Ovis aries: one gene and its partner. The protein of the gene in region 1 purifies or fractionates together with the protein of each later gene. This does not show direct contact. Links are inferred from orthologs where the notes say so. Each region holds a gene or a part of one and is shown on either strand. Other genes may lie near its edges.

The links.
Region 2: the proteins of AMHR2 (region 1) and CDC37 purify together in Homo sapiens (co-immunoprecipitation; 3 studies listed by BioGRID and IntAct, with this or other methods). This does not show direct contact. The link is inferred for Ovis aries from reciprocal best matches to the Homo sapiens genes AMHR2 and CDC37.

What each region holds. Positions count from the first base shown.
Region 1 is NC_056056.1:133,081,001-133,085,329, reverse strand, and holds the start of AMHR2 (anti-Muellerian hormone type-2 receptor), read left to right. Parts: upstream 1-1,394; 5' UTR 1,395-1,472; coding exon 1,473-1,524; intron 1,525-1,804; coding exon 1,805-1,987; intron 1,988-2,190; coding exon 2,191-2,382; intron 2,383-2,646; coding exon 2,647-2,721; intron 2,722-2,864; coding exon 2,865-2,983; intron 2,984-3,098; coding exon 3,099-3,329; intron 3,330-4,329. UniProt on the Homo sapiens protein: On ligand binding, forms a receptor complex consisting of two type II and two type I transmembrane serine/threonine kinases.
Region 2 is NC_056058.1:12,789,643-12,794,185, forward strand, and holds the start of CDC37 (hsp90 co-chaperone Cdc37), read right to left. Parts: upstream 2,869-4,543; 5' UTR 2,774-2,868; coding exon 2,672-2,773; intron 1-2,671. UniProt on the Homo sapiens protein: Co-chaperone that binds to numerous kinases and promotes their interaction with the Hsp90 complex, resulting in stabilization and promotion of their activity. Inhibits HSP90AA1 ATPase activity.

The DNA of each region.
Region 1 (4,329 bases):
CATCAGCCTCAAAGCCCTGGTCATGCCTCTAGCTGCTGTTTCACACTACTGGGACTTTGACACCCTCATGCAAGCTCCTCAGAAGACAGACTCCAGAATCATCCTGCATCTAAGCCAGATCGTCCCTAGAAAGGGTTTCCAGGTAGGCACCAGCAGAACAGAAGGCTAGGAAAACAGGGAACCAGTCTCCTCTGGCTCTAATTCTCATGAGAGCCAGTTCTAGTTTCTTCTGGGCAGTAATCTGATGGAGCTGGACTCCTGTCTCTCGATTGCGGCACAAGCTCTACACCGCTCTCCTTCCATCTGCACGCTGACGTTCCCTCTACACACTCTAAGCCCTCCCGTCACAGTCTGCAGTTCCTGCAGCTTCATAGACACGGGAGATGCACTGTGGGTATGAGTCACTCCAGGAGGCCCTTTCTGACCCCTCACTGTCCTGAGTTTCTCCTGTGTTTGCTGGCCTCTGGTGGTGATAGTTTGAACTGTACTATCTTTTTATAGTGGTCAGCTGACAGGTATTGGTACACATTTTCTCAGTCCATATTCAAATACTGTGTTGAAAGAAAATATTTTTTACTGCTGAATTTTGTATTTTCTTTCAGGCATCAGAGCCATAATGCAAAAAACAAAACAAAACAGGGCTTGGGCTTTAGAATCAGACTTACTAGGTCCAATCCTAACTGCTATTTTCTGACAGAGTGACCTTGGTCAAGTTACCTAAATTCAGCTTTCTTACCTATAAAGTGAAGATAATAATAACTCAATGGGAGAATTAGATGTGATGATTGTAAAATTCATAGCCCTAGTCGTGCCCTAGCACGTAGGTGCTCAATAAAGTTTGTTACCTTTTCTATAATGGTGATCAATGTGATTTTTAAAAAATTTTTTGATAACATCAAATCTACCTTCATACACCTATTTTCAATGTGATTTTTAAAAAACTCATTTTACACAGCTGCTTTCCTGACCGTTGAGTTTAGAAAATGAGGTCAACTCGAAGTCTAGGCTGTGAAGCCTGTCTGTGCCCAGGGAACTGCAGATCTGAGCCCAGAAAATAAGAGCTAGAAGGGCTTTTGGGAACAGGTGAATGGCTCTGAGCACTTAACCTCACTTGGGTTTCCAGCCTGGGAAGAGCTGACAGCAGCCAGCACTTTTTCCTAGGGTCAGCAAAGGGCAGAGGTTTGGATCACTCTGTTCTCAGTGGGAACTCTAAGGCCCCCTCCTCCCACTTTACAGAGAAAAGAGGAGGTGGCTGAACAGAGGAAGATACGGAGACTGGTTCTCTGCTCCTCCCTCTCCCTCCTTTTCCCCACACCCATCCTCTCCCCCACAGCAGCCGTCTCCCCCACAGAGACTGGGAAGAGGGAGGGGGTGGAGTTGGGGGCTGAAGGATCAGAAGCCCCACGGTGCCCTGTGTCTGAAGGAAGCTCTGGCCAGGGACAGCTGTGCTGGCTCCTGCTGCCCCCTCCAGCATGATGCTGGGGCTCCTGGGGCTCTGGGCACTGCTTCCTACAGCTGTGCAAGGTAAGTGTCTACAGGGAGAAGCAGGGTCTTTCCAGCCACCCATCATGGGAGGGAGCACTTGATGAGTGATGAGTGGAGTGGGTGAGTGAGGATGAAGGGTACAGCCAGGTGTTCCCTTGGTGGGGGTCACGTTCCAGGCCTCTGCTGACCCTGTTTCCTCCTGTGGCTTTACCAGGCTAGCTCTGCAATACAAAACATGTTTTGTCTCTCTCCCGGCTTCTGTCTGCCCCTGCATTCACTCCCATCTTGACCCCTCCCCTCCCCTTACCCTGGCCTGCAGCACCCCCCAGCAGGCGGACCTGTGTGTTCTTCGAGGCCCCTGGAGTGCGGGGAAGCACACAGAACCTGGGGAAGCTGCTGGATGCAGGGCCGGGCCCCCTCAGGGTTATCCACTGCCTCTACAGCCACTGCTGCTTTGGAATCTGGAACCTGACCCAAGACCAGGCACAGGTGGAGATGCAAGGTGAATGGCGCAGCATCTGCCAGGCATACCTGGGTGGGAGAGAGGCTTATCCTGGGTGGAGGTGGCCGCTGAGGAGGGCAGGAGCAATGGAATGTGTGGAGGGAAAGAAAAGGCTGTGAGAGATGGAAGGGATGCCCTCTGTGTTCCCAGACCCATACACACTCTGTCCCTCCCTTTCTCTCCTCCCAACCCCTCTGTGTCAGGATGCCGAGACAGCGATGAGCCAGGCTGTGAGTCCCCCCGCTGTGACCCAAGTCCCCGAGCCCATCCTCGCCCCAGCTCTACTCTCTTCACCTGCTCCTGTGGTGCTGACTTCTGCAATGCCAATTATAGCCATCTGCCTCCTCTGGGGAGCCCTGGGACACCTGGTTTGGAGGGCCCCCAGGCCATCCCAGGTAGCCACCCAAGGTGCTGGAGCCAGGTGGGGGCTGGGGCCCAGGTTAGATGAGAGGTTAGAACCAGGGCCAATTCTCACCCTACCGCTGTCCTAAGCTTCCCTCCTCCTGGCCTTGAGAAGTTGGTTGCCCTGGTGACTGGGAGATAAGGGGGCTTGTGACCAGGGTGGGGGTGGGTAGAGAAGCAGTTCTCTGAGGAGTGAGAGAAGCAGAGAGCGAGGTTCGGGGCAGGGCTCACCCAGTCTTTCTTGCTCTAACCTCCAGGGGAGTCCACCTGGATAACGCTGCTGCTGCTGGGACTGCTTCTGCTGCTGCTACTGCTGAGCAGCATCATCTTGGGTACTACTCTGCCCCACCCCCCCTAGTGATCCCCCCAAGGTACTGCCCCAGCGCTCTGACCCCTCTCCAGGCTCCCCTGACTCCCATCACTTCCCAGTCTCCATGCCTGGGTACCCTGACCCTAAGGCTGTTCTCTGCTCCAGCCCTGCTACAGCGGAAGGCCTGCCGCGTGCGAGGTGGGCCAGAGCCAGTGCCAGAGTCAGATTCAGGCAGGGACTGGAGTGCTGAGCTGCCGGAGCTGCCTGAGCTACGCTTCTCCCAGGTGCCCAGGGATGGTGGGGAAGGGGCCTCTGGGCCCTCCCAGAGAGTGTGCTGGAGAGGAAGCCTGGCCCCTGCGAACTCGGCGAGATCCAAACCCAGCACCGTGTCCCCACCAGGTCATACGGGAAGGAGGTCACGCAGTGGTGTGGGCTGGGCAGCTGCAAGGCAAGCTGGTAGCCGTCAAGGCCTTCCCCCTGAGGGCTGTGGCCCAGTTCCAAGCTGAGAGAGCGTTGTACGAGCTGCCCGGCCTACAGCATGACCACATTGTCCGCTTTATCACCGCCAGCAGGGGCAGCCCTGGCCCCCTGCCCTGTGGGCCCCTGCTGGTACTAGAGCTGCACCCCAAGGTGAGGACTGAGGAATGTATGTGTGTGGGAAGGCGGGGCGGGGAGTGGTGGCAGCTAGGCCCTGTTCAGGCTTGTTCCTTTGCTGTAGATTGCCTTTTCTCTAGAACATTAAATACGCTTTTTAACTTTTTTCTTTTTATTATTATAAGCAGTACTTGCTAATATTTTTGACTTACAATATATAGAAAAGGAAAGGGAGAAATCAAAACAATTCATATCCCCAACCTTAAGGAAAACCAATGTTAAAGACAGATCTCTGGGCATAGACTTCCAAATTCATTCATCTATCCATTCAACTAATATTTATGAACAATATGTTGCTGGAAAAAACACACCCAGCCCCTACCCTTCCCAGATTTTACAGAGTAGTAGGGGAGGCAGAAGGGGATCAAGCAAACACAAAAAGAAATGTAAAGAGTCAAGTGAATTAAGTGCTGAAAAGGCCCTATAAGAAAAGACAGAGGAGGCGTAACCCAAAGGGAGGGTCATGAGCGAAAAGGATGAAGAGAAACAGATAGGCAGGGGCCAGACCGCACCGGCCTTGTAGGCCTCTAAGGACTTGGGATATCATCACCTACAGTTCCTCCACCTCTGAAATCTTGAGTGCTGAGAAGTCTCTTCTTTGACCATATACCTCACAGCCCAGCTTGTTTGGTTTTGTTTAACTTTCCGGGCACACTGAAGGCGCTTAATAATGTCTGTAGAATGAGGGACTCCACTGTTCCTTTCCTCCCAGCTGCTCCCCTACCCAACAGCTCTCCCCATCCACGCCCTGCTACGGGGTGACCCCCCAGGCCAGGTGACTCATGCGGGTGCCCCTACCTAGCCTACTTGGCCTCTTCTGTCTTTATCCCAAGTCCTGTGAGGCAGTATAAGGTGGTTAAAGGTGAGTGATGTTGGCAGTCAGACTGCTGGGGGGTCAGGTTGTACGGCTCTCTCGCCCAGGGATTTCCAGCAAGCTCCTCATCCATAAAACAGGAATGACAGGAGTACCCACCTC
Region 2 (4,543 bases), on another chromosome or scaffold:
ACTTCCCTGGTGGTTCAGTGGCTAAGACTCTGTGCTCTCAATGCAAGGGGCCCCAGTTCGATCTCCGGTCGGGGAACTATTAATAGATTCCACATGCTGCAACTAAAGATCCAGCACACTATAACTAAGACCCTGTGCGGTCAAATTAATTAAAAAAAAAAAAAAAAAAAAACCCTCACTGGATCACAGCAAGTCAGTGATATGCAGAAGGAGCAGGATATGAACCCAGTCGGGCAGGCCTGCGCTCACAAGGGTACCAGGCTACCTTTTGGCTAATCCCCTCTTCCACTCTTGGTATTGCTTACTCTTTCCTCCCAGGCGCCGAGCCAAGTTCTTTCAAGATCTAATCTCATTTCATTTTCACGACAGTCTCATGGAGGCGGAGGGCTCGCTCCCCCAAAGCAGTGATGGTCCTGTGGCAGGGCTGGAGCCCAGGCTGCCAGTCACTGGCAGCTGAACCTCGTGCTGGAGACACCAGGCTCCCTGCCTCCACTCATCTCCACGACAGCCCTGGGTCCTCAGCGGTTGGACAGGGAAAGGTTTTGCGCCAGGAGGGAGTAGGGCGTGGTGAGAGGAGGATGCTGTATGAGAGCGGGCATGGCCTCCCAAACCAGCAGGACCAAACCTGGTGATAGAGATCAACTTCGTGACAAGAATAGGTGTTCCCGAGAATGAGCTTTAAAGCTTTGCGGAGAGCTTCAATATTTCATCATAAAATGTCACATATGGCAAGAGAGAAATACTAGAACTTTCTTTTTCCACTCCAGTGGCTTTCCCACCAGGTACACTAGCCAGGTGAAAGGGTTAGTCGCTTAATCGTATCCGACTCTTTGCAACCCCATGGACTGTAGTCCACCAGGCTTCTCTGTCCATGGGATTCTCCCTCCAGGCAAGAATACTGGAGTGGTCACTATTCCCTACTCCAGGAGATATTCCCCACCCAGGGATTGAAGCTGGGTCTCCTGCACCGCAGGCAGATTCTTTACCATCTGAGCCACCAGGGAAGCCCTAGCCAGGAGGCTGCTGCTTTAAGTAATGGGTTGGACCCAGAACTGGGACTAGATGTAGGCACGGATACTGTGTCTCAGCAGGATGAGGAAGGGCGCTTCTAGGTGTTTCTGGATAAACAACTGCAAGCTGATACATGGGAAGACAGAATGAGGTTTTCCTAACTGGAAAGTTCTAGAAGGTATATTCCATAAGTGTGAGAGCAAAGCAGCCCCTGGAATGTGGGTGTAGGAGCTCTGAGTTGGTGGAGCAAGAAGTTAGCACACAAGGTCTCAGGAGAGCCATTCTGTTGGTCTGTGAGCACAGCTGAGCGGCTGCGGGGGTGGGGGGGGGGGTTGCAGGTTGTCGAAAGAACATACAGACTTGGGATTCTGGGGGTCTGTATTTGGGGGAAAATAGATAAAAGAAGGGGCGGTGAATCTGGAATCAGGATGGGTGGGTTCCTTGTAACAGCAGGGTCATTGTGGATGTCTGAGAATAGCACACCAAGTTTGGGTCAGAAGGGAGATGGGATGGATTTGGGTCCTGGACTTGGGTTTGAATGTGGCATTCTGAAGCTGGCAAAGGTTCCCACTGGAAGTCTGTCTTGGGGGTGGGCGGGGACTGGGTGTGAGGTACCAAGGAGGGGCAGGGGTTCTGGCTGGGCAGGAAGCCACGTGGGTAGGGTTTCCTGATGTAATGGGAAATTGGGTCTAACAGTACCAGAGGCTAAAGAAGAGCCTCCGGAATTGGAGGCTCCATCAGGGTGGAGGTGGTGGTTCATTCTGAACAGGACCCAAGTTTCAAAATTCCAGGCCTAGATGAGACTGAGGGCCTTGGGGGGAGGGGGTACCAATCTTTGTTCTAGGGGAGGGGTCCTGGGTGTGGGTTGGAGTCCCAAGCCAGGAACAGAAATCTCAGGGGAAGACAGAATTATTTTATTCAGAGGAGTAAGACTTCTGGATCTGAACCATAAGGATCCAGAAAAGCAGGTCGCAGAACAGACTTAAACTATTGGGAACTCTAGGGTTTTGGAGGACTTCCAGACGGGGCCAGTGGTAAAGAGCCTGCCTGCCAATGCAGGAGACATAAAAGATCCCTGGATCGAGAAGATCCCATGGAAAAGGAAATGCCAACCGACTCCAGTATTCTTGCCTGGAGAATCGCACGGACAGAGAAGCCTGGCGGGCTACAGTCCATGGGGTCACAGAGTTGGACACGACTGAAGCGACTGAGCACAGGGGTTAGGAGGAGCCATGGAACAGCCAAGATCTTAACTGGGTACCCGACTAGGTTCAGGATCCAGATTCTGAGGTAGAAATCTGGGTGTAAATGGAAGATCCCAAGCAGGATTGGGAGGCACGTCAAAAGCTTGTCTTGGCAGTCTAAATTCTAAAAATATACCGTACAGGTCAACCTGGCGTTTCAAGAAGAAACTGGAAGCGCGGGGCGGTGGGGGTGGGGGGGGGGGGGCGGCGCCGGCATCGCGGGCAAGGAACTCAGGGGTCCCGGCAATTCTATGGCCCCGGAATTGAATCGAAGAACCCTAGGCTATTCGGAAAGTCCAGGCTGTAGGGGGCAATCCCAGGTATCAATGGCTGGGGCCCCCCGGCAGTATCAGGGGGTCAGAACTCTGAAGCGGAGTCCCGGGAGTGGGGGAAGGGGCTGGGCGCGCGAGCTCTACCTGGTGCCGCCAGCGGAAGAGGCTAGCGGTGTCGATGTTGGGGTGCGTCTCGTCTTCATCATCAGACACCTCGATGTGGTCCCACACGCTGTAGTCCACCATCTTGCCTCGGGGCCCAGCCCTCCAGGGTTCTGGTAGCGGTGGCGGCGACGGCGGCGGCGGCAGCGGCAGCACTGAGACACAGCCCGCGGAGCCCCGCCCCTTCCGCTTCCGCCCTGACGCTTACACCCCTCCCTCGCGTGACGTCACATCCTTAGTAACCTCAGCAGCGGCACTGGCGACCAAGTTCTTAAAGAGCCCTGCGCACGTGTTCCGGCTCTCGGGAGTCCGCTGAGACCTCACCCCATCCGGCTTCCGGCCTCCACTAGGCCCTTCCTGGGGAATTACGGGTGGGTTCTCCAACCTCGAGCCCCCCTCATCTCCCGCTACCCCACGGTGGGCGTTTACGGCAGCCTTGGGAGAGGGGGCAGTTGGCGAGACTGAAAAAGAGGATTGTCCTCTTAGCCACGCCACAGTGACGTCAGCCTGAGCCCACTACTGGGGCTCGGCCTCGGCGAAAAGACCTCGCTCCCGTCTTTTGTGAAGAGGGACTTAACTTTGTCCTGGAGATGGTGCCTGATGGGAAAGGACCTTCCCAGTACAAGGGGTACAAGGCCCTGCTCTAGGAGGGTCTAAGTGAAGGAAGGTTGTGGCCCTGCCCTCGAGGAGTCGAGATGGGGGCGATGTGGCCCTGCCTTGAGACCTGGTGTTTCCCTGGCTCGGACCACAGCTTCCCCTCTTGCCTCCCCCATCTTCTGCCACTCCTTAGCGGGGATTCGCGCATACACGCCCCCTCTGGAATCACCCGACCGCACTTAACGGGCCTCATTAGCTTGTCTACGGCGGCTCCCCATGCATCCGCTGGGTGTCGCTAGTGTCTAACTAGCGGCCAGTGCGGGTGCCCCGCGCCAGGTGGGGGAGGGGTGGAAGAGCTTGGAAGTGCGCACGCAGGGGGTCTTTCTCCGTCGAGGTACTCTGGGACTCCTCGCAGTCCCTCCCTCTTTCGTCTGGGATCCCCTTCCTCGTTCCAGACTCTAAGAACTCTATTACACTGAGCTTGGGCGACCGCAGCCACACATTTTCATGTATCCCTACCCACGCTTTGATACCGGGATAAAAGGCTGCGTTGCAGCCTAGGGCCAGGATTATCTCAGATTAAAGGGCGCAGGGCGGGGGACAGGGAGAATGGGTAGAGATTCAGCCACTTGAGTGAAGGGCGCCTCTTCCAGACTCCCCCCAACCAAGCAGGCGTTTGGGGGGGCGCTGGAGAGGAAGGAGTAAAGGTCTTTAAATGGGTGGGGTGTGGGGGATTCCCCGGCCCCGGGAAGGGGTGGGGCCATCCGGACAAAAGCGCCCGCCCGCCGCTGCCCCTCCCCCTCACGGTCCATTCAAACCCGCGAGTAGGCGGGCGGGGGCGGGGGAGTCCCCCTTTCCTCCTCCTCCTCCAACCCTGGCAGTTCAGCATCACAGCGGCCGTCAAGGCCCGGGTACGCGCGCGCACGGACCTACATCCCAGCGGGGCTCCCGATCTCACACTTACACACACACACACACACACACACACACACACCCCGGCAAACAAAGGGTCTGGACACCCCGGTCCCCTCCCGCCCCCCAGGCCGGAGAGGGCGGGGCATCCCCTCCCGAGCCCCCCTGCAAGGTAAGCTTTGGACTACGACTGCGGCCGGGAGGGGGACCTGGCCCCTGGGAGGGAGAGGCTCCGGGCGGGGAAGGGGGAATTCCATCGCTCCCCAAGAAAGGCAGGGCCCCCCACGTAGCCGGTTGAGGGCTGCAGGCTGGCCTCCAGGCTGAGGGTGTATAGGGAGGACCCCG